7 linked regions of the Danio rerio genome follow. The main gene of each other region encodes a partner of the protein of the gene in region 6 in a complex. Links are inferred from orthologs where the notes say so. Each region holds a gene or a part of one and is shown on either strand. Other genes may lie near its edges. The genes, in order: snrpd1, rbmx2, rnf113a, ppil2, snrnp200, srrm1 and cwc27.

Region 1 (5,217 bases), on a different chromosome or scaffold from region 6:
ATTTGAGAAATAACAATAATAATAGCCCACTAATATTAACCTTTATTTTAGATCTACAGAATCGTGATTTTGATTTCAAGCAAAAATAAAAATTTAAAAATTGCAATTCTCATTACAGTCAGAATCGTGCAGCTCTACTGATGACTATTAAACGCATCATAACAGTCCTGTGAAAAGGGTCCATTGCGTGTTTAACAATTTTAAAAGGAATAGTCAACTTCTTTTTTTAAAGAAACAGTCTCATTTTACAACTCCTTAGAGAGTTAAACAGGCGAGTTTTCCCATTTATGAATCCGTTTAGCTGATTTCTGGGTCTGGTGAGAGCACTTTTAGCTTAGCATAAATCATTGAATCAGATTAGACCATTAGCATCTCACTTGATTCTTCTGTAGTTACATTGTGTATTACAACTAGCAAGAAATGAAAAGTTGCTATGATCTATATCAGGGGTTCCCAAACTTTTTAACTCGTGACCCCCAAAATAACAATTTTAGTAACTCACAACCCCACTATCCTCTGAGGTGGTTATAAGTAGGGCCAGATGGAATCTGCGGGCGTTTTTTGCTATTTCTGCGGAGAGTTTTGGTAAAGATCTGCGGAATTATTTTGGGAGTATCATAACTAAAACCTTAATATATGACATAAAAAAAAATATCTTTATATAATTTTTATTTAATGTTTAAAATGCTAATCCAATTAGATTCACATTATTTGGTAAACAAAGCAAGTCTCTCATATAATATCTCTACTAAAAGACAGAAAATATTACGGTACAAACTGCATTGTACATAAGTCAGACGAACATTTTCATATTAGTCAATAATATTACTGAAATAAATGTAAAAACTGAATTAATATAGATTTACACACATTTACTCAAGTAAATAAACAGAATTAATGATGGGCTAAACATCAGCGGAATTCAGCTCGCGCAAAATAAGTGTGGGCCTAGTAATAAGCATACAAACACTGTACACAATAATGCACACACACAAACCAATAGCAACTATATAAACAAGCTTATTGACAACACAACAAAAGTGCAGCAGTTTATCAACCATATCATTTTATAGTCACTATTCATTTGTTTAATTTAATATTAACCTCACTTAATGAGAATTGTGAAATATATACAGCACAAGTCTATTCTTGATTTAATTTCGGAGACCGCCACTTGGAGATCGTCCTCTATGTTCAGTCGTGGCCTTTATTTTTAATGTACAGGAGTGCTGTAAATGTGTCAAAGTTTAACATTGAGCCGTAAAATAAATCTGCTGCAACTAACACTATTGCTGTGTTATTAATCTAGCGTAATCACTCAAGGAGTCGTAATCCAATGGAAAAATAATGTAAACGCTGCTGTCTGTTTATGTACATGTTTTTGTTTTAAATGTAACTATTAAACACTATCTTCTGCAGGTTATGGATAAAATATGGTAATTTTAATAATTTATTTATATGTATATATTGGAAATCACCAAGCAACCCCCCCTCAAGGACTCACGACCTCCCAGGAGGTCCCGACTCCCACTTTGGGAATCACTGGTCTAAAAATTGAAAATCTCCACAAGTAAAGATGTAAATTTTCACACAATACCATGATCTATTGTTTTTCTGCTCACATGATTATTATAATACGAGTCTGACTCAGTGGCATTAATTCATCAACAAAGTATAACAAGTTTTCTAATTATTATTATTAGCACAATATAGGGCATATACAATGAGTCTTTTTAATTCAAGTTTATTTGTATAGCGCTTTTTACAATGACTAGTGTTTCAAAGCAGCTTTATAAAAGGTGCACAGTATTGCATAACAATCCAATTAAGTCAAGTCATTTTCAGCTAAAAGGTTAAATGCATTTTTTCCGGGAGCTGACAGATGTAATTGAGGTAAAGTTGTTTTTATATTCACACATTCAGACTTAATATAATTTCAGAAAAGTATTATTTGCAAATACTAAATAGGGGAATCATATTATCACCAAATGACTATAAAGCACAATATTGTTTACGGTCTAATATTGTTTTGAAGTCATTCTTATATGTGATTTCAGATCAAATATTCAAAGCAGCGTGGTAAAAAATAATGAATCTGTATTCACCTTTTTAAATACTGCTTTGCTATTTCATAGAACGCCAAAGTCTAAACCTGCTAATATAAAACCAACTTCACCTCAATATAAGCACATTTATTGGCCACCTATGAGATGTAATGCATCAGATTCAAAGAGAAAATGCATAATATGACCTCATTTAATGAAACAGGCACATAGCAGACAGTTTATAAATGTGATTATGGTGCATTACTTAAAATAATAATTACCTGTAATTGTGCCATGGACCTGTGTGCCATTCTTCAGCTCAATCGTGACGGTTTCATGGCTCAATTTCATCAAAAACCTGCAGGTCACAATCATAAAAACAATGATAAACAATTATAATAACATAACGTCTAATATCTACATATAAAGCATTTTGTCAATATGATTATATAAAGTATTTACAGCTTACTAATGATAATAAACTGATAACTATATTTAAAACAAATGATAAACTATATATCCAATAATCTTTAGACTTCCTAACTACACACTATAGTGTCTATTAACATAATTATATGATTATATACAGCTAGCATATTTAGAAACTAGTAAATAAATGTAGCTAACTTAGCATTAACAGTTATTGTTTCTGTTTATGTATTTGTTGCATTTAAGACCCCGCATGATCAAACTACCACCAAAAAACGCACAATGTATTAATAATCTAAGACTAAACCCGCTTATTACATAGTTTAAAACACGTATGTGCTTAAAACAAATGAGTAAAACGTTCAAACAAACGCTCGCCCATTCATTCATTCCCGCCTGATGAAGCTAACGGCTAACTAGCAGCTACACACAATCCGGCTCCATCTATTAAAATACATCGCGCATCCGCAAAGTTTCTTTGTGTATTTTACTTGTATGACAGCTGTAGATGTTTATTACCTGACGAGTTTCATGATGGCGGTGGACTTTGAGAGAAAATCCTCCACCTAGATGAGAAAAAATTGTAGCGCAAAACGAATGTAGGACGCTACTGGAGAGATGGTACAATCACTTCCTGGGTGAAAGGGAAACAGAATTCTGAGGACAGAAGGGTTGCCATTACTCAACAAAATCACCGGAATATTTTTACACGCTGGTAATTTCATTTATAAGCATGTTATAAACATACAAAAGCGAATTTAAAATTTTAAATGTTGCTACAACAATTTTTATTATGATAATAGCTTAAAAGTATTTTTCAATTTCGATATCTCATGGTACATAGGTTAATAAAAATACACTTTTAATTAACCAAAACAACAATAATTTAATCTCACAGTAAATAGTTTCCTTAAAGCATTCTTTTAAAAAACCAAAACAGCAATATTAATCATATTTAAGGCTTCAATTGCGTTTTAAGATAATAAAAGTATAATACAGATTTAAATTTTGACACTTTTTTTTCATAAATGTTTAAATCTTTTCCATATCACAGCGCAGCTACAAAATATGATTTATTTTAGACTATGAATAAAAATATACTATAATAAAATATTAACTTTATTCTGTTTTTTTCTTTGTAATTATATTTTCTTAATTCAAAAAAATAGCATTCAACATCCACCGGAATAGATTTAGTTTTAACGTATCTGGCAACCCCACAGTGACGATACAGTAAATAGGTTAATAAAAACACACTTTTATTAAACCAAAACAGCAATAATACCCATATTTAAGGCTTTACTTGTGTTTTAAGATAATAAAAGTATAATACAGCTTTAAATTTAGACAATTTTTCATGTAGTGTCATTTTCATATCAAAGTGAAGCTCCAAAATACTGTTTATTGTAGATAATGAATAAATAAGATACTATAATATAATGAAAGCTTTATTCTGTCTTTACTCTATTTATATTTTCCCAGTTTAAAAAAAAAGCTGCATTTAACAACCACAGGAATAGATTTATTTTTAACGTATCTGGCAACCCTACAGTGACAATATCTCACGGTAAAGGTAAATAGGTTAATATAAACATACTTTTAATTAACCAAAACAGCAATAATAATCAAATTTAAAGTTTTAGATGCGTTTTAAGATAATAAAAGTATAATACAACTTTAAATTTAAACAATTTTTACGTATTTTTTATACTACAGTGAATCTCTAAAATACTATTTATTTTAGATAATGAATAAATAATATACTATAATATAATATAAAGTTTCTTCTGTCTTTGTAATTATATTTTCTCTATTAAAAATAACATTCATGCACAGTTGTGGATTCAATTTTAAAATATCTGGCAACCCCGTGGCGATATCTCAAGTAAAGGTAAATAAATTAATAAAAACATACTTTAATTAACAGAAACAGCAATAATAGTCATATTTAAGCTTTAATTGGGTTTCGAGATAATATAAGTATAATACAGCTTTAAATTCAGACACTTTTTTCACGTAGCAAAAGATTTAATTTAACGAATCTGGCAACCCCGCGGCAGGAAGTGAATCCCGGAAGTGAGCGCTCATTGAAATATCACGTCAAAAGTGGATCGAGGGATTAAAACACAGAAATCAAACCCTCGCTTTTCATCATGAGAAATCCCCGAGGGTTTATACCGAATAAATGATTAAACTAGCATAAAGCAGCGCTTCAGACCGCGGGAGAGCGATGTTGTGAGCGATGTCGCGGTGTGTATTTGGAGTGACGTGTGTTAGTGAGTGACAGCTCATCCTCTTCCTCGTCCTTTTCTTCATCTCCAGCATGTCATTGAGCATGTTATTATTGTCGGCGGGATCTGCGTGCAGTTAAGATGTTTCCGAAGACCTCGTTCACCAGCCTGATAGTGGGGGTGTTCCTGCTGTATGTGCTGCACACATGCTGGGTGATGTACGGCATCGTTTACACCAAACCCTGCGAGAAACGCCGAGCCGAAAGCTGCATCTCTCCATACCTGGCCGCTAAACCCAGACTGCAGGTCAGAAACTAATTTATACAAGCGTTATTTAATGAACAGTGCATGTTGAATCAGGCCTGTGCAGCTCTTCTGGGACTGCCACATTGCTGCATGCATGGATTGACACTTGCTTACTTAATGATAGATAGATAGATAGATAGATAGATAGATAGATAGATAGATAGATAGATAGATAGAATAACAGATAGAATACCAGATAGATAGAT
Region 2 (4,127 bases), on a different chromosome or scaffold from region 6:
CAGCGGCTCTACTCCAAGCTCCTCTCGGGTGAAAGAGCTCCTCACCTTATCTATAAGGGTGAGCCCTGCCACCCTGTGAAGAAAACTTATTTCGGCCGCTTGTATCCGAGATCTTATCCTTTTAGTCACGACCTAAATCTTATAAACATAGGTGAGAGTAGGAACATAGATTTACCGGTAAATCGAGAGCTTTGACTTTCGGCTCAGTTCCTCCTTTACCACAATGGACCGATACATCGAGCGCATTACTGTTGCCGCTGCACTGATCCGCCTGTCAATCTCACGTTCCATCCTTCCCTCACTTGTAAACAAAACCCTGAGATACTTAAACTCCTAAGGACTTTTCTCCACCCTGGAGATGGCAAACCACCTTTTTCCGGTGAAGCACAAAGGCCTCGGAATTGGAGGTGCTGATTCTTATCCCAGCCGAGTCACACTCGGCAGCAAACCGCCCCAGTGCATGCTGAAGGTTCATGTTCGATGAGGCCAACAGAACAACAACAACGTCTGCAAATAACTATAGTCCCTGAACCAGACCCCCTCCATTCCAAGACTGCGCTTTGACATTCTGTCCACTAAAATTATAAACAGAATTGTTTACATAACTAATACAACCTTTTTGTGTGATAAGTGTTACCAAAGCTGTAATACATAAATCTGCTTTGAATACATGAACACAGAGAAATTAGCACAATAAATTTTTTTGCTGGACTTGTCAGCTGCTTTTGACACTGTCAACCACCAGATCCTGCTATCTACGCTCGAGTCACTGGGCGTTGCGGGCACTGTTATACAATGGTTTAGATCTTACCTCTCTGACAGGTCATTCAGGGTGTCTTGGAGGGGAGAGGTGTCCAACCTACAGCATCTAAACACTGGGGTACCTCAAGGCTCTGTTCTTGGGCCACTTATGTTCTCCATCTACACATCATCTCTAGGACCAGTCATCCAGAGACATGGATTCTCCTACCACTGCTATGCTGATGATACCCAGCTATACCTCTCTTTTCATTCTGATGATCCCTCGGTTCCAGCTCGCATTTCAGCCTGCCTGTTGGATATTTCACACTGGATGAAAGATCATCATCTTCAGCTGAACCTCGCAAAAACGGAAATGCTTGTAGTTTCTGCCAACTCGACTCTTCACCATAACTTTTCAATCCAGATGGATTACTGCATCCAAAATGGTGAAAAGCCTTGGAGTAATGATTGATGACCAACTAAACTTCTCTGACCACATTTCTAGAACTGCTCGATCGTGCAGATTCGCACTCTATAACATCAGAAAGATCCGACCCTTCTTATCTGAACATGCAGCTCAACTCCTTGTTCAAGCTCTTGTTCTCTCCAAACTGGATTACTGCAACTCTCTACTAGCCGGGCTTCCAGCTAACTCTATCAAGCCTCTTCAACTGCTCCAGAATGCAGCAGCACGAGTTGTCTTCAATGAACCTAAACGAGCACATGTCACTCCGCTGCTAGTCCGTTTGCACTGGCTGCCAGTTGCTGCTCGCATCAAATTCAAAGCTCTGATGTTTGCCTACAAAGTGACTTCTGGCCTTGCTCCTTCTTATCTGTTCTCACTTCTGCAGATCTATGTGCCCTCCAGAAACTTGCATTCTGTGAATGAACGTCGCCTCGTGGTTCCATCCCAAATAGGGAAGAAATCACTTTCGCTTACGCTCAATCTGCCCAGTTGGTGGAATGAACTCCCTAACTGCATCAGAACAGCAGAGTCACTCGCTACTTTCAAGAAACAACTAAAAACTCAACTATTTAGTCTCCACTTCACTTCCTAATCTGCAATTGCCTCTCTGAATATCACACTAACTGTACCAAAAAAAAAAAATACTAATACTACTAATACTTCCCTTCTTAGACTTTACAGACCTGAAACTTGCCTATAGCACTTATTCATTGTTGCTCTTAGTTGTGTAAATTTTTTCCCCTCTCCTCATTTGTAAGTCGCTTTGGATAAAAGCGTCTGCTAAATGTAAATGTAAATGTCAATAAATGTGTCTGGAATATGTAACTACTCATGAAATATAAGCATTAATCTGATAATACATAAGTCTGACAAATGATTAGTATTTTAAGTGTCACAAGAGATACAAATGTATTGATAAACATTGTTTGTTATGCTTCAGATAAAAAGGAGAAGAAGAAAAAGAAGAAGGAGAAGAAAGAGAAGAAAAAGGCTCTGAAGGAGGAGAAACGTGAGGGGCGCTCTGAAAGCTCTGCATCTTCTCCTATCAGAGTAAAGAAGGAGAAGGAGGATGTGGCGTATGAGAAATACAGCGTGAAAGGACCTGCGGCTAATAGAAGAGACAGAGCAGATGAGCAGGAGCAGTTAAAAGAGAAGGAAAGAGAGAGAGAAGAGGGCAAGAAGACAGACAGAAGACATGCAGAAACACAGCAGAGAGAAAGAGACAGAGAAGGAGAGAGAGAGGGGGACAAAGAACGAGAGAGAGACAGAGGAAGACAGAGAGACGGGGAAAGACAACGAGAGAGAGATGGAGGAAGACAGAGAGATGGGGAAAGAGACCGAGAACGAGAGAGGGACGGAGGAAGACAGAGAGATGGGGAAAGACAACGAGAGAGAGATGGAGGAAGACAGAGAGATGGGGAAAGAGACAGAGAACGAGAGAGAGACGGAGGAAGACAGAGAGATGGGGATAGAGACCGAGAACAAGAGAGAGACGGAGGAAGACAGAGAGATGTGGAAAGAGACCGAGAACGAGAGAGAGACGGAGGAAGACAGAGAGATGGGGATAGAGACCAAGAACAAGAGAGAGACGGAGGAAGACAGAGAGATGTGGAGAAAGTCAAAGAACGAGAGAGAGATGGAGGAAGACAGAGAGATGGGGAGAGAGACAGAGAACGAGAGAGAGACGGAGGAAGACAGAGAGATGAGGAGAGAGTCCGACAACGAGAGAGAGACAGGGACAGAGAGAGAGACAGAGGTAATGGCAAACACAGAGATCACAGTCGTGAAAGAGAACACAGGCGAAACTGATCAAACTCAGTAGTTTACATTTTCTTTTGATGTAAAAAATATTCATGTTTTTATTGTATTGTACTACAAAAATGTAAATAAATGTTTCACACTTTTTTTAAGTCTTTCTGGAATAATTGACTAATGGCCACTCAATGTTAAATTACACACATTTTATTTGACTAATAAATAGATTTCATTTTAAGTTAGCACAAATACTGTAACAAGAATAAAATAGAATAAATGTCCTGATGAACTCCAAAGTCAAGGTGATGCGAAGAATTCCTGTCAATTGTAAACCTGAAATCATTTGTAAAATAAAATTAACTATTAAAAGACATTGAATGTAGGCGACGCAGTGGCACAGTAGGTAGTGCTGCAAGAAGGTCGCTGATTCGAGACTCGGCTGGGTCAGTTGGCGTTCCTATGTGAAGTTTGCATGTTCTCCGAACGTTCATGTGGGTTTCCTACGGCTGCTCCGGTTTCCCCCAGTCCAAAAACATGTGGTACAGATGAATTGGGTAGTCTAAATGTCTCCCAGAGATGGGTTGCAGCTGTAAGGGCATCCGCTGCGTAAAACATATGCTGGATAAGTTGGCGGTTTATTTCGCTTTGGCGACCCCAGATTAATACTAGTACACCCAGTGGTTGAACTAGGTATTACATTCCTGGATCAAAACAAGCGCAGGTTGCCAGATTGAGGACCAACAGGAGCGAGCCTGACTATCGAGCCTAAAGGCTGATTTAAATCGTGTTCTAAATAAAAGCAACGGCACGTCTTTGAAGGAATATTTTCCACATAGTTTTTGTTCTAATCAACATCTTGAATTGATATATTTGAAACGGTTTCTATTAGGGCTGCACGATTAATTGAAAAAAGGTCACAATCTCGATTTGACCTTACACGATCTTAATTCAGCTTTTCTACGATTCAGCCAATTATTTATTCAAGGTCAGGAGAGAAGCATAAAGGCAGTCAGACAAGTCTTCACAGCAATGTGGACACCTACAAATGGCTATGAAAGAGATGCATATTGTATTTATAAGGTATAGTTCACCCAAAAATGTAATTTCTGTCTTAATGTAATGATGTATTCACGACCGCGAAATCACACGTGAGCTGACTGCGAGC
Region 3 (4,193 bases), on a different chromosome or scaffold from region 6:
TGTTTGATTTTCGGAACACAAATAAAGATATTTTACATGAAATCTGAGAGCACCCTCATCCTCCATAGACAAGAGACGTTCAAAGTCCAGAAAAGGATCCAAAAACAATCCATGTGACTTTCAAGGTTTCCTGCGGTTTGGAAAAGTCAGGGTTTTAAAACCGCTAACATTTTCTGTTACACTGTGGTATATGTACATTGTTTAAACATGTTTTTTACAACATGTTTTTTTATTTTATTTAGTTTTTTTAGGGCAACAGCTACTGGTCAGCCCATGGTTTAGGGAACATCTGAAAAACAAAATGCTTAAGCACCAAAACATCCAGGCATGCTCTGGACCTGAACAGTGCTGTGGCTTACTTTATATCCAAAGAAGAGAAAGATGAATGTCTTTTTCATTTTTTTTTAAAGAAATATGTGTTTTCGAAACTATTGACTTCTGCTGTCTTCAATAAATTCTTTAGCCTGTCATGTTTACTGTTCCAAAATATGCTTCTTAAAATAAAATATATTGTGTTCAATGGGAACAATAATAGTTTTTTTTTTACCCAGACATTTTAAAAGAATATTTTTGAGCAGTAATCACAATACTGTGAAACTCTGATATTTTTATCCAAGGTTATCATACCGTCAGAATCTTATACCGGCCCATGCCTAGTAAACGCGCACCCTGACCTGTCATGTATACAAAAAATAAAGTATTCTTTCATGTATTTACAGTTTTTTACAAGTGTTTTGGGAGCTCTACATGATTACACATCAGAACACTAAAGTCCCATGCAATGTTTTTGGTTTCTGGACTTTTGAACATCTTTGAAATCTCACTGTCCATGGAGGATGAGAGAGATGTCAGATTTAATCTAAAACATTTTCATTTGTGTTCAGAAGATAAACAAAGGCCTCTTAAATACAGCCGCCAATCCAAGCACCAATCACAATCTGCCGTAATCCGCTGCACCTGGAAATAATTCAGACCGAGAGAGTGCAGGAAAGAGGGAGAGGAAACAAGAGAAAGAAAAACTCGTAACAACACTGACTCACCTGACCATGCCAGAGGAGGCATTGCCCATAGTGGAATCTTTGGGTTTAATGAATTTGTGATAGTTGTTGATCCCACGATAAATCTTATCATCTTCTTTACCAGTCAGCTCCTATAAATTACACACAAACACGCAGCCATATGATTAAGAGATTGTGTATATTCTGGCCATCTTAACAATATCAACAATCAAATATCATGACATGAAATGACCCCGCTCCTTAGATGCTGGTTTATTCTTCTGCATTGAGCGCAGACTTTGAGCAATCGCATACTCCTCGCCGTGGCTGACGCGCACCTCTCAAAAAATGTCACTACTTGACGATACGTAGCGCAAGCTCTGCGGTTGGTCAGCTTGATAGTGATGACAAGAGTGGGCAGCGCGGAGAGCAACGAAAAAAAGAAGACTGTTGGTTTTAGGCAATGTGTGTTTTCATTTCAGTTGTTCAACGCTGATGTTCAATAAATAATCATAGATAGTAGATAGTTTGCGTTTCCTTCAATTATTTTAAAATCAAGTAATGCACCCTTTTCAAACATCTCTCACTTTACGAAACCTGTCAGTTAACTATGAGGGCAAAAACAAATGAAATAATCAATCATTAGTTGTAATCGGGTTAAAATGTTTAGTTAATCAAGATTTAGATTTGAGGCCAAATCGCCCAGGCCTATTATAAAGGCTATTTATTTTCTAAAATGAATTGATTCTGCTGTGCTTGAAAGCACTGAGTGAGGTATCTAAATAACTGAACTGACATGACATGACACGCTACTATATCACCTTCTGTAGAGCTGTTGTCTACTTGAAATATGTGTAAATACAATTGAAAATGCTGAGTTTAATGTTATCTAAATCTAGAACTGTAAAGGTACTTTGAATCTGTACATAACATACATAAACCTGACTTTACAATGATGCAGCCAGTTATTTCCAATCACCCGCATACCTCTTGGATTTTCTGACTGCGCTCAAAGATGGCCTGAGCATCTTTGTCCCTCTCTGTGTCCAGCTCATAGACAGCAGTGGCCCCCATGTCATCCGGCCCCTCTGGTTTCTGCAACACATAGTCAAATACACTCAATTACAGCCTTTAATGTTTCAATGAGACAGCGCAAAAACTGTCAGACGTTAATAGAAATGTAAAGTCATACGTGGTCATGAATTATTAGGCACCATCAAGCGTTTATATTCATAATTTGCTGTAGCATAAATCATGAAGCTGTACAAATGTTGGGTCAGTCAGACTCACCGCTGAGCGAGTGGACTTGTAAGCGACAGTCACGCTCTTTTCTTCCTTCTCTTCTTCACTTTCACTCGATGAGACAGCTTCCCTCTCCACTTTCTTCGTCTATAAAACGAATAATAAATATAATAATGATGACATCAGTTTAACAGCGGCTAGTTACATAAAACACATGAAATACGGACATACTTTCTGAATCATGGGGTTCACAGCGGCAGATTTCTTCTTTCTGACCACTGCACTGCCCTCATCGCCGCTGCTTTTTTCTGATGATAAAGAAACAAAACACTGAACTGCAGACATGTATTGAGCATAAACATTAATTAAACAGACGGCTTGTTGTAGGGATTATAGTTTCTCAAGTCAAACTCGCTGTCGATTGAGACACTGAAGAAAGAAGCACAACGTACCTTTGTCGCTGTCACTTGCATTTCTTTTCCGTGCGGAAAATTTCTTGTTTGATTTCTTAAAAATAAATGTGCAGGTGGGTTTTTTCGGCTCCTCGGACTCCGCCATCTTTAACTACGTATAAAAACAAACGATGAAGTCATTTTTTGGTTACAGCGCCTCTTGTGTTTGGGAAGAAACGTAGAATGGGAATGGTTTACTGCTGTTGTATTTGATATGAATATATTCCCATTTAACAATTGATAATGTACATATCTTTACTATTATTATTAATCAGTAACTAGCAATATTCAGACAATATTTGGATGCATGCATTGAGCAAAATTAAGGATAAAGACGTTTTAAGGTATTTTATGGTGTACTTAAAGTAAAATTATGATTTAGAGTGAATTTTTTCCCATTATAAAGGTAAAGTCTAGTTAGGATACTGTGGATACGTACATCAACATAGCATAAGTTTTGTGACACTGTATAACAATAAATAATATTTTACAGTACAAATTCCACACTGGCCACGCCCCTATCGTGAATGTACCACTAGACGTAAATGTGTCGTGAAACACCGCAGCGGTTTACGGCCTCGCGCCATTTTAAGAAAGGAACGACTCGTTCAACTGGGTGAGAACACACGTTGGGTATTGTGTGGACCGAAATACACACAAAAATACCGAGTGAATTAAAGAAATTCATGCACGAAGGTCTTCCACAGAAACACGCAAGAGGATTTTGGCCCGAAAATCGGAGATTTCGTTGGAGCCGAATGAAAAACTGAGGTAATTGACTGCAGGAGGCCGTCCGTGGAAATGTAGGCGATCTCGGATATGATCATCATGAGAGAGTTGGTGAATTAGCAGAGCTGACCGTAACCACGACTGAGCTTTGCTTTATTTTTGTGTATTAAAGAGTGCACTGATATTAGTTATTAGATGCGTCTCTTTTTGTTGATGCTACACTAACGTGATCTGATGCTGAAGTTGTAGTTTGTTTAATCATTATGTGGAGAATAAAAGTGTTTGTTTGCACGAAGCTAACCGAGAAAGCTAAGACTGCTAGCAGCTAACTTCACGAGACTCGTTTAAGGGGTGTTTGTTTACTGATCCAGATCTATGTGAAGACGCTGAATTTTCAGTTTGAATCTGTTAGCATGATTTTGTCTGCTTATTTAAATCCACCTTATCTTAAATAACGTCTTATTTACCATTTTCACACAGTAACTGCTTAACTTGCATGAGGTGCTCCTAATTGTTGATTATTTTTTTTATCGTTTGTGTTTTTTCTCTCTTCCAGGTGAACAATGACTCAGTTTCTTCCGCCGAACCTGTTGGCATTGTTTGCCCCGCGGGACCCCATACCGTTCCTGCCTCAACTGGGAAAGCTTCCTCACGAGAAACACCACAACCAGCCCTACTGCGGAATTGCTCCTTTTATCCGGCATTTTGAGGTGCTTTTTGACTTGTTATTTTATGTAGAACGGTTTATTTATCGATTTCTTTGTTACATTGA
Region 4 (3,785 bases), on a different chromosome or scaffold from region 6:
TGTCTGGTGCATTAAGACAGGAGGAGTGTATCCTTCAGGTGGTTTGTCTAGCCCACTCATCTGCATAAAGTACACTCATGCATACTCTCATTCTATTGTAATAATCAAGGAACTTTGCAGCTGTACTTTTGCTGCAGCAGGGTCAATGATATTGCACAGCGCCTGAAAACAGCGCCCAACAAGGTAACAGTGCTGTGTAATATCATTGTGCCTGCTGGAGCCATGGTACGGCATCAACGTTCCTTCATTATTATGCAGAGTATAGTTCTTAGCCATATCGGCCTAGAAAAATAGCAATTCTTCATTTACTGTCGGTCATAGTAATTACAGAAGAGCAAAGCTTAACAGGAAAATCATAGAAACTCCTTTTTTATATTTTTGACTGAGATGCTAATGGTCTAATCCTATTTAATGGTTTATGCTACGCTAAGCTAAAAGTGCTCCAGCCATCCCGGAGATTAGCTTTCTTGAATTTTTTGGGTTCAAAAATGTGAAACTCAACTGTTTACCTCTAGGAGAATTGTAAAATGAGTGTAGAAATTTAGTTTAAAGTCATCTACTTCTTCAAAAAGGCCTAAGACAAATTTGTTTTTCATTTTCATTTATTTGCATGATTTTATTTTGTTGTGCTTCATGTGAAAAACTTTATTTAATCTTGCAACATTTAGCTTGATATTTCAATGCTTTTTTTCTTAAAAGGTAACCGCATGCTAATAGGTAAAGACTGTTTTCTAAGCCTGACTCTGTTTCTCTTTTACATTGTCAGTCTGAGATTAAGATACTGAGCACTTCAGTTTTTGTGGACCCGTATGAAGAAGCAGATGCCCAGGTCAGCACTTTTATGCGTGTATGTTGTCATGTTGTATTTGATGTGTTTGCATGCTGCGCAGCCGATGTAACTGTGTGTGTGTTAGATTGCAGCGGAGCGAGAGAAGGAAGCTCAGAAAGTGGAGGAAGAGAGAGCACAAACTTCTGCTCTAGTCAACAAGGCAAAAACTGAGGAAAAGCCTAAAGCCTTCAGACCAGGAGTGGGAAAATACATCAACATGTCTGCTACGTGAGTTCACACATATTGGTTGTTGAATATGACAACATTGTAATAGTGCAAGACTTTATTGGGGTTGTTATTTACCAAGTTATTGCATTGATTAAATATTTGATCATTACTAAGGTACTATGAGTCACATTGCCAGAAGCTTTCCTGTGAGCACAGAACTGATTCACACTGAATACATGAAGTCTCGACATTTATTTTGGTAATTCTTATTTTGGTAATCCATCTTTATCAAAACAGTCTGATTATAAGCAATAGTGTTTCATTCTTTGACTTGAAAATATGAAAGTTATTTGTTGTTTATCAAAAAAGGTTATAGGATCATAGCAGTGCTATCAGATTGACTCAGAATCTAAAACATCACAGGACGAGAAATTATTAACCTGGAATTGGTTAAAAGATTCTTAAAAGCTGCAGCAGCGTCAGGAGATCTGTCGTCTGTCTTTTTAATGTTTGTGGCAAAACTACCGTCACTAAAAAGACAGACTTATTAAGAAAGATGGATGGATATAGGAATAGATAAATGATGGATGGATATATGGATAGATAAATAGATGGATGGATATACAAATTGATAAATGGATGGATGGATATAGGGATTGTTTAATCGATTGATAAATGGATAGATGTATAGATTGACAAAATGATAGATGCGCCTATGGATTGATAATTGGTTTAATGGATTGGTGGACGGATGGATGTATTTATTGATAAATAGATGGATGTATGTATGGATTTAGAAGTGGATGGATGGATGGATATAGAATGATAAATGGATGGATGATATGTGGAATATGGAATGTATGGATGGATGGATAATCCTATAGATAGATAGATTGATAAATGGATGGATATAGGGTTTGATAAATGGATGGATGTATACAGATTGATGGATTGATAAGTGGACGGATGGATGGATGAATGATATATGGGTTGATAAATGGATGGATGGATATACAGATTGATGGATGGATAGATGGATATATGGATTGATAAATGGATAGATAGGTGAATGGATATAGGGATTGATGAATGGGTAAATATAGGAATTAATGGACGGGTGGATATATAGTTTAACAAAATGATAGATGGATATGTACATTTATAAATGGTTTAATGGATTGGTGGATTGATGGATGGATTGATTTGTTGATAAATGGATGGATATGTAGATTGATAAGCAAATGGATGGACATATGGAATGAGAAATGGATTGATGATTATTTGGATTGATAAGTGGATGGATGGATATGTGGATTGATGGATGTATTGATTTATTGATAAATGGATGGATATGGATTGATAGATGGATGCATGGATAGATAGATAGATAGATAGATAGATAGATAGATAGATAGATAGATAGATAGATAGATAGATAGATAGATAGATAGATAGATAGATAGATAGATAGATAGATAGATAGATAGATAGATAGATAAACAGAAAGATATACGGATGGATAAACAGATGGATAAACAGATGAATAGATGTACAGACGGATATTTTGGTAAATACAGGTGGATGCATCTTTACAGTGTTGACCATATTTATGCTGGATTTAATTCTGGTAATGGCAAATAAGTGTTTGTGGGTGTCAGTGGTGAGGGTTTGTCCTGCACCACAGCAGGGCTCAGGATATGAGCATAGTTTACTGTGAGCAACAAGAGATCGTTCTAATTATCCCTCACAACCCCACTGATTTTCACACGCACACACACACTCATCCCCAACACACTGACTGACTGTTAAAGAGACGAGCGCACACATGCACAGTAATTTGAACACCTGCTGCTCACACCCAAGGTCTGGATCTCTCTCTCTCTCTCTCTCTCTCTCTCTCTCGCACACACAAACACACAGTCACTGCTACCTGATGGGAACAGATCCATCTCTCACATGCACACACTTCATTTGTTTTTATGGCAAAAAATACAATTTTTATATATTTTTTGGACTTATTGTTTATTTGCAAGCACAGGGTTTAATTAAATAAATGATCTGAAATTCTCAGCATAATTGAGTACACCTCCTTTTGAAAATGAATATTTTGGTGCATTTCTCGGTAAATATAACCAATATATTTGGTGCACTTAAACAAATCCTAATTAGTAAGCTGTTATATCCATTAAGAATTTGGTAATTAGGAATATAAATGTAATATATTTTAAAAAACTGAAAAAAAAACAAAGAATTTAAACACATTTAAATGTTTTTACGTTTCTATCGATTTTTCAACTTTATAAACAATTTGTATATTTTTCTCTAACTTATACTTTTTATTATATTAATTTTTAGACAGTGATCTTAAGTTATTTTTTTAGATTAGTTCTAGTTTTGGCTTTGGTACTGAATAATGTATATATGAGCAATATCACACAAGTAGCAGTCGATATACAGCCACATCACACTGCTACTTGTATGATATTGAGTTCATACAACAGTTCGACAGCATAATCGTGTGTATAAAAAAGAACATCAAACACGAAGACTCTAAAATCCCTTTTGTAAGAGGAACTACTTTCTTCTGCCATTCCTTAACATCTGCAGCTGACGTCAGAACAGCAGAAACCATTGCTCATCCACCAATGTCACTTTAGAGCTAGTGTTTGAATGATTCTCTAGCATAATGTATAAAGTGATGACAAAACAGGTGATTTTGCTCACATTTTAAGATTATAAAGCAAAGAGCATGAATCAGTCTACAGAGATTTCCCAGTATTTCTCTGTT
Region 5 (4,507 bases), on a different chromosome or scaffold from region 6:
TTAAATTAAACCTATATAAAAAAACACCTGCTATTAAACTAACCATAACCCTAATCCAAATGCATTTACAACTCACCTTGGCATTCTGCACGTTGCCCAACACAATCTCTGCATTCAGCATGTCAGCTAGTTTTCCCACCATCTGGCTTTCGATGGGCAGCTGCTGATTGAGCAGGGACAGGTAATACTGCAGCTCTCCATGAGAAGTGATCAGAATACCCTCTCCTTTAGAGTCATATTGCGGTCTGCCAGCACGACCCAACATCTGCACCAAAAAGTCAAGAGTTATTACCCACAGTTCAATTAACTTCTTAAAAGATTGATGAAAAACACTGACCTGTAGGATGTCCAGTGCTCCCAACTCCGTCCATCTGCCTTTCTCTGGGCTGTAAACCTGTGTGCCTTTGATTATGACAGTGTGAGCTGGTAAGTTCACACCCCAGGCCAGAGTGGCTGTGGAGACCAGCACCTACAAAACACACATTCATGGGTTTTAGGATTTAGAAAACAAAATAAATTTATTTATTTATTTTTTTTTCCCTCACGGTTACTAACTAACCTGAATGTGACGGTCAGCAAACAAATCTTCTACCAGCGTTCTGTCCACTCTGGTCATTCCGGCATGGTGAATAGCAAAACCATACGGCAGAAGATCCTTCAGCTCCAAGTTCTGCAACCATAAAAAAATTAATTAATTGATAATGTGTGTAGAGGACAATTAATTGCTCCAATATTAGTTACATTTTAGTATTCACTGATGGGTATACTATTAGCTTTATCAACACACTGAGTTTGCAATGGAATTGCTGGTTTATTAAACAACAGCAGACAAGAAGCATGTTTGATCCTGGTGTAAAAATTATGGTAAATACTTAAGTGGGTGTAAATGATCTAAAAAATTCATTTGTATGACTCAACCACTAATATCTCAAATAATAAAAATAATATCATAATAATATCTGTATTCACACTTGTAGTTCACTTTTCTTGGCTTGTCTGGTCCAGACCAAAAAAAAAAAACAATAGTTGTGAGATCAGTAATATTTCTGAATTCTTAAGATTCGCTGAATAGATTTTTATTACTGTCAAAACTTGTTAAAAACAAAACATTGCTGTATCCTTGGCTAAATGCACTCCTTGTATGTGATTTTTTTTTTATGATTGCTTTTTTGGTCACATCCTGTGACATCATAGTCTGTTTTTGTCTCTGGTCTGTTGCATTGATATTTCAGTTTAACCACACCAGAGTTAGACAAACCATTTATTTGGTGCATAGCAGTGTTCAGATGGCAACTATTACATTTGTTCAATTTACCACACTAACAATCGCACCAGATTTCACTGCTATTAAATCAATTCTGCCAAGTGTGAACAAACCCTAAAATGATGAGCTAACCTTGCACTGCTCTGCCTCAGTCCTCAGGACCTCAGTGGAGGCTGAACCCTCCCTCAAGAATAACCCCAGAGTGTCCTTCTCCAAACACATGTCCCTGATTGCTCGAGCTGTCTTCCCGGTCTCCTTTCTCGAGTGCACAAACACCAACACCTGGGGGAAACAACATGTATGAAACAATAAAAAAGACAATATTAATGACTGAAAAACTAATGGGACACATGGAAGTACAAAGGACTAATCATGTTATTGTGTTGAGCTTCACACCTGATTTTTTCCAGCATGCTCCATGATCTTCTCATAGACGATTTCATTCATGATCTGAAAGCGTTTGATGGCCTTTTTCTCTGTAATTCCCACATAGGTTTGTTCCAGAGGCACAGGTCGGAAACTATAAAACAAAAGAAAAAAGCCAAACATATGTTCATTATTATAGTAAAAACATATTCAGTGTTTACCAAAAATTGTTGAAGACCACCATTCACAATCTCACAACAGCAGTCCATTTCTCACCTGTTGTCGAAGTAAAAAAGTCCCTTTGATGGATCCACACGAAGGCAGGTTGCCACATCCTCATAGTTAGGCAGCGTGGCGCTAAGGCCGATAAGCCTCACGTCTTCCTGCGTCAGCTCCACGTTACGGATGGTTCGAGCAATCAGTGACTCCAGGACTGGGCCGCGGTCATCATGCAGCAAGTGGATCTCATCCTGTAAGGCAACGCATGTTTATATATAACACAAAACATACGGAGAAACACTGAAAAGAAGTTAAAGTGAAACCTTGATTTGATTACTTACAATAATGATAAGGCGCACAAGCTGTGTATAAGTTCGTTCTCCTCCTTTCCTTGTAATGATGTCCCATTTCTCTGGCGTGCACACGATGATCTGAGTGGCGTTTATTTCCTCCTTGCACAGCTGATGGTCTCCGGTCAGCTCGGAAACAATGATGCCATAACTAGCCAAGCGCTGCAGGTGTAAAGCAACAATATTTTAGAACTGTATAATTTATTATAACATTAAACAAGTATAAAAGTGCTAATGTTAAATCTATGTCTTAATGTGGCCTCACAACATTATCTGGCTAATTGTAAAACTGTAAATTCATCTGTCTTAAAATCTTTCCTGTTATTATGACAAGAAGTCACTAGAAATAAAACTTGCTTTTAGTTGAGGAACTATGAGAGATGAAATCAAGTTGGTAACACTTTTAAGAAACGGTCCATTAGTTCATGCTAGTTAATGTTTTTACTAACAAGAACAAACAATTAGTAATACATTTATTACGGTCTTTATTCATTTTGTTAATGTTAGTTAACATTAAGTTAAATAATGTTAGTTCATGTTAACTTACAGTGCATTATGGTCAACAAGCACAACTTTATCATTTAATAATGCATTAGTAACCGTTGAAATATGATTAAAAATGCTATACACGCTTATTCATACTTAATGTAAGTAAATACATTAACTAATGTACCATTATTCTAAAGTGTTACTAGAAATGTAAGATGTTTTTACCTCTATGTTCAGTGTTCCTACCTTGCCAAAGCTGCCCACCATCTCCTGTACCAGTGAGCGCATAGGAGCGATGTAAATGATCTTAAAATCTGCAACATTGATGGTGCCATCCATGTTAATGTGCTTTCCGATCTCTCTGAGCATAGCCATAAGAGCAACATTAGTTTTACCAGCACCCTACAGGTCATAGAGAGGGACAAAAAATCTTTAAGTAAAATGCACATAAAACTGGCAAGTTCTACATTATATCATTTATCTTTGTTTTCCAGTAGACTAACCGTTGGAGCGCAAACCAGAAGATTCTCATCAGTCTCCATAGTGGTTTTGAAGAGTTTACTCTGTATGCGATTCAAGGATTTAAATCCTTCAAATCCAGCTTGAGCATACTTGGGCAGTTTCTCAATACCCACCAATGTCTTTGAAAGAAATAAGAGAAAAGTGAAATACTGGCCAATCAACCAGCAATTTAAACTCTGTTGTATACACTTCTGTTCAAAATGGCCAATAACATTTTTTTTAATGGAAAAAAAAATGTATATAGCAAGACAGCATTAACATGATCAAAATTGACAGCAAAGATGTTACAAAGTATTTCTGTTTCAAATCAATAGTGTTCACTTAAGCATAGTGATTAGAGAACAGCGAAAATAAATCTTTCTTGCGACACAAACAAACCACATCCATTTTGTTATATGGATATTCACCATATTAGAAAGATTTCTGAAAGATCATGCAATACTAAACAATGGAGCATTTGCTCTGGAAATTACATTTTGCCATCACAGGAATAACAATTAAATGCTAAAATATGAATACAGTTTTAGATAGCAATGTTTCCACAAGATTTCAGTATGATCTTTGATAGCTTTTGAAAGCTTAATAGCTTTTTTGTTTTACTTAGCCAACTTGATGTGGCAATAAATTAACCAAAAATCCCTATCCCTAATAAGAAAAGAAAAACTAGCAGATAAATACCTCTTCATCACCAAAGGGTTTGGGTTTGAGTGCAGGCACATGAACCTCCTCATAGCCCTTTCTCTGTTTGCGGAAGGAGCCGTCAGGCAGCTGGCAGCGCTTGTTGGCCATGAAGTGACTACCTTGAGTGAAGGTCAGATCTTCCAGGTCTAATAGCTGCCTTGAGGACACAGACTAAAGACAAAAAACACAGAACAATAAAGTGTCACAATGCACATTAGGAGTGGTTATCAAACTGAGAAAAATTACATTTAACTCTAATTTTAAGAGGTGGACACAGCATTAAGTGGGATCTACCTCGCCATGATCAATGTCCATAGACTCCAGATCATCCACACGAGATTTTCTCATTCTCTCCCTGCGAGATCTCTCCTCCTGCAAGAAAACACAACATCATAAATTTACAGACAGACATTTGTCTTTAAATGATTAAAATCTCAAACAGTCCAACACTAATGTGAATAAAACCAGAGGGCAATTCCTGACCCTGATGATGTCCTCTTTTTCAGTCTCTTGCAGCTGGTAGAGAACTTTGGAAAGATCCTGATCGGCCTCCATTTTATTAATGATCTTCTCCTTCTCTGCTTCACTTTGAGCACTGGCCAGCATGGTGCAGTAC
Region 6 (3,508 bases):
TTTCTGTTTTTTGTCTTTGTTTTCCTTTTCTGTGTATATAGTTGTTGTTGCTACTGCTGCTGCTGTTGTTGCTGCTGCTTGTATTGCTCTGTGTTGCTTTAAGGTCAAAATATAAATATATTTAGACATGATTACTTACCATTTAAATAAACTTACTGTAATTAAAACCAACTATACAGTGGTTATAAAAGCAGAATACAAAAGCCAAATTATTTTCTTTTAGAAATTATCATCCTACCCGATGAAACCAAAACTACATTGCTCAAACAAAGGATAATTTGGTTGTTTACATTTTTATGCAAAAACACCACAATCGGGGGAAGAATCAAGTGTTCCAGTATTAGTTCAGCCCAAAACACTCCACATGAAATATATTTTGATGTCTTGTATCACATACAACGGATGTAAAGGGTGAACTCCTTAAAGATAGTCTTTGTTATTACCAAAGATCTTCCAGCACAATGCACAGCTGATCCAGAAACAAAGCTTTCCAGCACTTAGCCTGACCTCTAGGGACAGTATAAAGACAGACTGCATGTTTACCACCCATGTATTCCCACAGATGCCTGCAGCCAGAAGCAGGTGGCATTATAAAATAACAACCAAGGCAAAACATTGCTGCCTTAGGCTGATTTTCCAGATCAGCCATTATTAACCGCATTACACCTTTACAAACTCACTGAGCTTTCATCTGTGGCTAGTGAAGATTTCACATGGTGCTAAAAGGGAAAAAACAACAACATGAACAGCACTTGATTATCATGTGTCATTACCAGACCTGGGACACTACAGGCTTTCCAAAGAACCCAGTAAAAAGGGACTAGCAAACATATGCAAAACAGTTTTTTTGCATCCTAAATGTAATGCTGTCCACATTGTTAGCATGCTGGACGAGTCTGTCATTTACATTCATGATCATTGAAAGTGAAACAAAACAAACTGCAGATATGCACAATAATGCAACTTAAAAAAGGAATTTGAGACATTTTTCTTTCAATTTAATGTGACTTTCTTCAAAGTCAGACATTTCTGCAGGGTCCAACAATGTCAAACACAACTTAGGTTACAAAAAATAAGCAACAAAAAAAAAGAGAGAGATGAAAACAGACTTCGGATTTGTTCTCATGTGTACAGTGGAGCTCTCAAGCACTGCCACAATGCTCAGATGAACAGAGAGAGCAGTTTTACTTTATGGATCATGCACACAAGAGGACAAACACGCTGGGGTCTGCCGTCCATGCAAACAAAACTCTCGAAAAAAGTCCCGCGAAGGTTAAGAGAGAATCTATAGGCTAACTCGTACATTATTAACTCAGAACGGCAAATAAGCTTTTCATTTTTTTTTCATCATGACTGTAAAAGCAACACAGAAGGTGAGGGGTGTGGGGACTAAAAAAAGTTTTGTTTGGAACATTTCTTCTTGACAGTATTTAAGTGGTAAGGGTCAAAATCTGATGGAGAAACTTCAGCTGCTCACTCATTTCTATATCATAAAACACTTCAGCAATAAACATGCCAAAATAAAAATAAAAAAACAATTCCAAAACAAATGAAAAAAAAAAAAGTCTAGGGTGAATTTTAACAATTTGTACATTCTAAAGCTGAACCAACATCAAACATTTAAAATGCAGAGAGTGGAAGAGAAAAAGGGAAATGTGGGGTGCAGGAGAGATGCCCTCAGGACTGAGACGATGGAGACATCTGGGCCTTCCTCATTGAGCGGAGAGCTTTCTCACGTAGGTGCTTCTCCAGATCATCCAAACTGTCTTCTACTTCACTCTCTGATTCCTTCAAGAAAGGTAGCATTAATTATGTCTGACTCAAACATAAGTAGTATATTTAGATTTTACATTAGAGACAATACCTAACTCGTAAATTAGGGCTGGGTGATATGGCCATTTTAAAAAATCCCTGATTTTCACAAAAACTCAAATTTACGATTTAAATAATCCCCCCCCCCCCCCCCCATAAAAAAATGCATAAAGTACTAACATACACTCCCCAGCCACTTTATTAGGTACACATCCAAATACTCATTGCAAAATTCTAATCAGCCAATGACATGGCAGCAACTCAATGCATTTAGGCGTGTTGACATGGTCAAGACAATCTGCTGCAGTTAAAACTGTGCATCAGAATGGGGAAGAAAGAAGATTTAAGTGCCTTTGAAAATGCCATGGTTGTTGGTGCCAGATGGGCTAGTCTGAGTTTTTCAGAAACTGCTGATCTACTGGGATTTTCACACACAACCACCTCTATGGTTCCACTGAGCGGCAGTTCTGTGAGCGCAAATGAATTGTTGATGCCACAGGTCAGAGGAGAATGGCCAGACTGGTTCCAGCTGAAAGGCAACAGTAACTCAAATAACCACTCGGTACAACCGATGTATGCAGAAGAGCATCTCTGAACACATCGAACCTTGAGGCAGATGGGCTACAGCAGCAGAAGACCACACCGGGTGTCCTGTCAGCTAAGAACAGGAAACTGAGGCTACAATTCGCAGAGTTTCACCAAAATTGGACAATAAAAGATTAGAGAAATGTTGCCTGGTCTGAAGAGTCTTGATTTCTGCTGCAACAGTCAGATGATAGTGTCAGACATTGGTGTCAACAACATGAAACCATAGATTTATCTTGCCTTGTATCAATGGATCAGGCTCGTGGTCGTGGTATAATGGTGCGGGGGATAATTTCTAGGCACACTTTATGCCCATTGGTACCAATTGAGCATGGTGTTAACGCCACAGCCTACCCGAGTATTGTTGCTAACCATGTACATTCCTTTATGACCACAGTGTACCCATCTTTGTATGGCTACTTCCAGCAGGATAACACGCCATGTCAAAGCACGAACCATCTCAGACTGCTTTCTTGAACATGACAATGAGTTCAGTGTACTCAAATGGCTGGCACCTGAAAGATTACTCTAGCCTAGTGCACTGAGCAAGTCTGACAGTGTTGATATTTACAGTAATGAACATCTTTACAGCTGGGTCACATCATTTATCCGAAAACAGCAACGTTGGATTCCAACATTAGATGGGTAACAGTCATAGATATTTACATTGTATATATCTATAGGTAACAATTCCTTTCATATGCGCATCTTTTCTTTTAATCGTCTTATCCATTAATGCTACTTTTCATTGTGAGAATACAATGTGTGGCACACAGTTACCAACTTCTGTGTCTCACGGTTAAATGCGTTTTTTTTGCCAGGCGTGTTTGTGCACCTGTGCTGTTTTTCGTTTCATTTCAAAGATCGCATAATTTCTCCGAGTTCTCTTCTGCTTGCTGCATGTTGTTTGTGTGTTTCTATGGCAATGCGGGGGAAACTACAGGAGCCCAGAGGTAAAAAAAACAATTTTCATTCAAACAAATCAATGTGAACTTACTTCACACTCGAGTTACCCAATAAAATCTATTTATCGCCCAGCCCTAATAGAAATAGAATCATAGAAGGGATGAATATATATATATATATATATATATATATATATATATATATA
Region 7 (4,507 bases), on a different chromosome or scaffold from region 6:
GATATACAACAGGGCCATTGCAAAAGCTCCACAAAGGTCAAAGGTTTGTCTGCGCAAATCTCAAGTATGCAGTCACAGGAAGTACAGCACAACCCAAGAGCCAGGATGCGTGAGAGAAAACTTTTTCAGCAGTCACATGAAACCCTCTTAAAGGGTCACGAAACACCAAAACACATTTCTTGAGATGTTGACAGTCATATATGCGTCCCACATTGCTAAAAACACTACTAGGGCACATATATTTTACTAAAAAGTGTTTTTTTAAGCAAACTCGTTCCTCCAGTTTAAAAATACTTTTTTAGGCAACGTCACAGCCAAGCGATCATTGTGTAAATTTCAGCTTGGAAACTGGATGCCTGTACCGGTTGGTATAATGTGACGTCTTTGAGTTTTCATCATTAATTTATTAAATATGAAACAAACTGTGCTTTAAGCGTCTTCACCGTTAGAAAAACACTTTAACTACAAAAGTCTTTTAGTCAAGAGCAGAGAGGGATTTTCTCCTTTTGTTGTTTGATTAATAATGATAAAAACAGGTGGCAGCAGGAACATTGTGCACTGTCACTTTAAAGGTTTCTCTTTATTGTGTCTTTTGATTCTCAATTCGTTTGTTTATTACATAAATGAGGGTTAATATGTATAATCACTAAACACCACGTTTTGACACCTATTTGACTATTAAATTGCTCACATTGAGATGACTTTAGATGTGTGCGCTCTGCTCGTCTGTGTGCGAATGAGACCAAATCCTGACCACATGCTTCTGACTGTGTGTACGTGCCACACACAAACAGAAGTATGCGGTCTTTCGCACTTTTAAGAGCAACAAATGTGTACAACTGGAAAAGGGGCGGTATATGATGCAATCGTTTATCTCGATTAATGCTTTTTCATAATCGTTAGAAAATAAAATCGAAATCGGATTTTTGATTAATTGCACAGCCCTACTATACACACACACGGCTGTTTGACGCTATTCTCTGCATCTACCAAGAAATCTGGAAGGTTTTGTTCTCCCATGCGGCATGCGGTATCAAATTCCATTAAAACTACACTTTTCCTGCAGTTCCTCGCATCCAATATCTTGTGTGTCATGGAGACATGAATGAAATGTTGCTGAATTAAAGTGAAAGTGCCAAACTTTTAAAAAAAGTAAAAAGTAAGAATGAAACAAAGCTAGACCACCTAAACAAAGCTAGACCTAGACTCACCGACTTTCCTGAATTTTTTCAAACTAGAGGTGTGAAAACTGTTGAGACAGCGCGGTTTCATGGGCCTTTAAGAGTCTTTAATAGTGCTTGCTCTTCAATGATGAAGAACCATCTTCATCATTGATGCAGAACTTAGACAGCTTGAGACGTACAGTTTGACAAATAAGGACTATATTATTTTAAAATAACTATGCTTAACAATTTGTGACTGTTCATTCAAAATATGTGGGATTCAAGTGAACAAAAGTATATTATAAAAAAAAACTTTGCTAACAATTCATTGCAACTGCTTTGATGCTTTACAACATACAACAGTGTAGTGTGCAGCATTTACATTTTTATAATTACTAAAACCATAGCCTTCTGAAGTTCATTAACATCAGTAAGCTGCTTAGCAATTTCTGTTTAACCATCTTTAAATTTAAGATCTTATAAAATGATAATTAAGATGCCTGGTATACCAGCAGTTTTAGATTTCATGGACCCAAAACATATTTATATGTGAGAAATACCTTCCCAAAAGCTATACATCTTTAATTTCTTGTTTAAAAGATCTAATTTGTGCTGTAAAATGTAGAGTGAACATTATAATTAAATATTTTTAGATGAGTCTTAATTACATAGAATAAACTTTACTTTTTTGTTGTCATTTTATCAGTGTAGTAACCCAATTATTTAAAGAACCTCTATTTTGCATTATAAAAGGTCATGTTTTGGTTTTGGAGGTCTCCAACAACAGGCTAATATGCATGCAAGGTCAAAAAACACTTACAAATGCATTTATTTTTACCTAATTATCCCAAAAATTCCCATATAATTCGTTCAGTGATTCATTTGTTCCTAAACCTCTTCTTAGCACAAAGCTAATCTGTCCTGATTGATCCGATGACCCAGACTGTTGTGATTGGTTGACTGCATTCAGCACAAGATGGAGAGAAATGCCCACCACGACTATGAGTAACAGATGTGTAAGTACACGGCTAAGTAGCACACAGAGAACGTGAGAGCCCAATGCAGAAATGCATTAAAACAATGCAGTGACACACCAACATCTGTCTACTGTTAACAAAGTTCCTGTCTGACAAAATCCCACACATAATAGCCTCTGCTGCTCCTTCCTTTAATAGCAAACGACTGGCAAATCCCACGTTGAATTGTAGGTTATTGTATCAAAAATCAGAAAAAGGAACAAACACGGCACTAGGTTGCCTATACTCTGGTGTTGTTGTGAAATTGCCTGCAGGCGAATCTCCATCTGTCAGTGATCATCATCTTCCCATCATGATCAGTCCTGTGATCCTCAGCACTCTGCTTATGTCTGAATGGAAAGCGCGTTTACATTTTACCAGATCTGGAACTATCTATTTGGTGATGTACCGTATTGACGCCGATGCATTCAAGCATAACTCTATTCAAGCATAACTCTATTCATTCATTCGAGTCACCTATTTTGTAAAAGAATCAATTGTTTTAAACATGGTGCACTTTCAGATTTAAACCTCAGCTTGACGTTTTCATTCACTTCATGCTGTTACACACTGCATTAAAGATCATTTTCAAAAACCCATAAAAGGAGCTCTTTAAGTCTTGGATAGTCATATTTGGTAATAAAAATAACCTTCAAAAAGCTATTTTCTATAGCTGATTTGAACACAACATATTAAATTTGTGAAATAAATAGATAAGAGGAGTGAAAAAGACATTTCGATGGTTATTCTAAACATTAGAATTTGAGTGCAGTCAGACCACAGAAAGACTTGACTTTGCAAACAATAGAATATCACAAACCTGACCCAGACTTGACTTGATGACTGAATGATGAAAAAAAAGTTACACTGCTCTTTGGAAAACGCTAACAAAAGGTAAGCAATTAACTAGGCATGTCAACTAAACAACAATGCCAAACGTGTTATCCAAGTGCTCCTTCACAGCCAACATTCAATCAGGTCTTCAAAACACATCTACAAAACGGCTTCAGATATATTAGACATAAAAAAACAAGGCTTAATGTAGAAAAACAAGCTGTTTGGATGCTGACTTGATTTTGAGAGAGGTTGAAATGCTTTCAACACGCCATGTGTGAGAAATAAATCATGTTTCTTGCTGTTAAATCGGTATAAACATGACAGTTTCAAAGAACGCGGGTAATTTCTAAAGAGCTTTTTCAAATTCTGTCAACAGAAAGACAAAAAAGACAAACAGCTGTGGTTTTGTGGCACAGACACTCACCCTCGCTGACGTCCTCTTCTTTCTTCACACCGTCTTCTTTTCGCTGTTTGATTGCAAGTAATTCTTTCTTCAGCTGGCGAGCTTCTTTTCGCAATTCATCACTGTGAAAGACATTCAAGCAAGAGCTGGAATTAATTTCCAGTCTTGGAAGGAGCGCTTTCTCAATAAGTCTTGCAAAACGCAGAAGGGAAAAACACGTTACGGAAGGAAAAACATGTAGAACACTTTTTTAATCGTAGCAATTGAAGATACTTTTCCTGCTATTTGAGATAAATCATTCGAAATCATAAATTAAACATAAGTTAATGTGACATGGAAAATGACCAAATCTCAAACAGGCTAGAAAAAAAGACCAAACATTTTCAGGCACAAACTGAAATTTCAAAATGTCTGCGACAAACGGCTCCTAAAATGTGGTTCTCAATTTGTGTAACCTATTTTAAAATGGTCTTTAAGCCATGACCCAAAGTTTACTTTAAAAAAAAAAATACCATCCTACTGTTGTGAAAAGAAATATTTTTTTTTAATTATTTTTGCCTCTTTTTCTTTTCATTAATCATTTGTATTTCTATTGCTTAAAGGTGATATATTAACAACTTCTATGGTTGGGTGTGATATGTTTTGCATACTAATGATGAAGCATTTTTGCAGAAGTAGATGAAGCTGATTGTCTAAGATTAACTTTAGCTCAGCAGCGAAACTTTCTGTGAGACTGAATATTTGCAGTTGAGTCTTATGCTTTTGATGTTGTGCAAAGAATTCATCGAAAAAGTGTACGTAAGTAAGAGTGCAGCCAGTGGAGGACTGGAGAATGATTGACAAGTGACAAATTCCACTAAACTCCACCTGTTAATATCAGCAACGAATAAAAGAGTGAATCAGCAAATTAAATTTGTTGCACACCCCTGAAATGTAACTCTTGTATTGCATTGAGAATAAAAGAATTCTGTGAATCGAATTATTCATTTCTATCCAACAAATTGCTAATGCATTAAACCTTAAAAGAAAAACCTCTCCTCATCTTTTTTATTATACATGCATGGAATTGATTAAATATTTCAACTACT

What was found.
Region 1: srrm1 (region 6) and snrpd1 share a complex: the UniProt entries of both Homo sapiens proteins name them as parts of the minor spliceosome. The link is inferred for Danio rerio from reciprocal best matches to the Homo sapiens genes SRRM1 and SNRPD1.
Region 2: srrm1 (region 6) and rbmx2 share a complex: the UniProt entries of both Homo sapiens proteins name them as parts of the minor spliceosome. The link is inferred for Danio rerio from reciprocal best matches to the Homo sapiens genes SRRM1 and RBMX2.
Region 3: srrm1 (region 6) and rnf113a share a complex: the UniProt entries of both Homo sapiens proteins name them as parts of the minor spliceosome. The link is inferred for Danio rerio from reciprocal best matches to the Homo sapiens genes SRRM1 and RNF113A.
Region 4: srrm1 (region 6) and ppil2 share a complex: the UniProt entries of both Homo sapiens proteins name them as parts of the minor spliceosome. The link is inferred for Danio rerio from reciprocal best matches to the Homo sapiens genes SRRM1 and PPIL2.
Region 5: srrm1 (region 6) and snrnp200 share a complex: the UniProt entries of both Homo sapiens proteins name them as parts of the minor spliceosome. The link is inferred for Danio rerio from reciprocal best matches to the Homo sapiens genes SRRM1 and SNRNP200.
Region 7: srrm1 (region 6) and cwc27 share a complex: the UniProt entries of both Homo sapiens proteins name them as parts of the minor spliceosome. The link is inferred for Danio rerio from reciprocal best matches to the Homo sapiens genes SRRM1 and CWC27.

The regions. Positions count from the first base shown.
Region 1 is NC_133194.1:2,232,192-2,237,408, reverse strand, and holds the start of snrpd1 (small nuclear ribonucleoprotein Sm D1), read right to left. Parts: upstream 3,152-5,217; 5' UTR 3,008-3,151; coding exon 2,994-3,007; intron 2,404-2,993; coding exon 2,327-2,403; intron 1-2,326. Other genes in the region: lipid scramblase CLPTM1L, read left to right, coding at 4,847-5,011. UniProt on the Homo sapiens protein: Plays a role in pre-mRNA splicing as a core component of the spliceosomal U1, U2, U4 and U5 small nuclear ribonucleoproteins (snRNPs), the building blocks of the spliceosome.
Region 2 is NC_133196.1:41,949,847-41,953,973, forward strand, and holds the end of rbmx2 (RNA-binding motif protein, X-linked 2), read left to right. Parts: intron 1-2,147; coding exon 2,148-3,016; 3' UTR 3,017-3,113; downstream 3,114-4,127. UniProt on the Homo sapiens protein: Involved in pre-mRNA splicing as component of the activated spliceosome. As a component of the minor spliceosome, involved in the splicing of U12-type introns in pre-mRNAs.
Region 3 is NC_133178.1:30,712,647-30,716,839, forward strand, and holds the start of rnf113a (E3 ubiquitin-protein ligase RNF113A), read right to left. Parts: upstream 2,801-4,193; 5' UTR 2,799-2,800; coding exon 2,693-2,798; intron 2,549-2,692; coding exon 2,472-2,548; intron 2,388-2,471; coding exon 2,289-2,387; intron 2,094-2,288; coding exon 1,986-2,093; intron 1,151-1,985; coding exon 1,041-1,150; intron 1-1,040. Other genes in the region: snrnp70 (U1 small nuclear ribonucleoprotein 70 kDa), read left to right, coding at 3,985-4,131. UniProt on the Homo sapiens protein: Required for pre-mRNA splicing as component of the spliceosome. As a component of the minor spliceosome, involved in the splicing of U12-type introns in pre-mRNAs. E3 ubiquitin-protein ligase that catalyzes the transfer of ubiquitin onto target proteins.
Region 4 is NC_133180.1:13,658,674-13,662,458, forward strand, and holds part of ppil2 (RING-type E3 ubiquitin-protein ligase PPIL2), read left to right. Parts: intron 1-766; coding exon 767-829; intron 830-914; coding exon 915-1,057; intron 1,058-3,785. UniProt on the Homo sapiens protein: Has a ubiquitin-protein ligase activity acting as an E3 ubiquitin protein ligase or as an ubiquitin-ubiquitin ligase promoting elongation of ubiquitin chains on substrates.
Region 5 is NC_133183.1:33,110,219-33,114,725, forward strand, and holds part of snrnp200 (U5 small nuclear ribonucleoprotein 200 kDa helicase), read right to left. Parts: coding exon 4,375-4,507; intron 4,264-4,374; coding exon 4,186-4,263; intron 4,063-4,185; coding exon 3,889-4,062; intron 3,330-3,888; coding exon 3,192-3,329; intron 3,091-3,191; coding exon 2,935-3,090; intron 2,362-2,934; coding exon 2,191-2,361; intron 2,101-2,190; coding exon 1,907-2,100; intron 1,785-1,906; coding exon 1,661-1,784; intron 1,547-1,660; coding exon 1,397-1,546; intron 671-1,396; coding exon 560-670; intron 470-559; coding exon 338-469; intron 266-337; coding exon 77-265; intron 1-76. UniProt on the Homo sapiens protein: Catalyzes the ATP-dependent unwinding of U4/U6 RNA duplices, an essential step in the assembly of a catalytically active spliceosome. Plays a role in pre-mRNA splicing as a core component of precatalytic, catalytic and postcatalytic spliceosomal complexes.
Region 6 is NC_133192.1:26,833,835-26,837,342, reverse strand, and holds the end of srrm1 (serine/arginine repetitive matrix protein 1), read right to left. Parts: intron 1,789-3,508; coding exon 1,678-1,788; 3' UTR 977-1,677; downstream 1-976. UniProt on the Homo sapiens protein: Part of pre- and post-splicing multiprotein mRNP complexes. As a component of the minor spliceosome, involved in the splicing of U12-type introns in pre-mRNAs. Involved in numerous pre-mRNA processing events.
Region 7 is NC_133185.1:12,108,156-12,112,662, reverse strand, and holds part of cwc27 (spliceosome-associated protein CWC27 homolog), read right to left. Parts: intron 3,542-4,507; coding exon 3,441-3,541; intron 1-3,440. UniProt on the Homo sapiens protein: As part of the spliceosome, plays a role in pre-mRNA splicing. Probable inactive PPIase with no peptidyl-prolyl cis-trans isomerase activity. As a component of the minor spliceosome, involved in the splicing of U12-type introns in pre-mRNAs.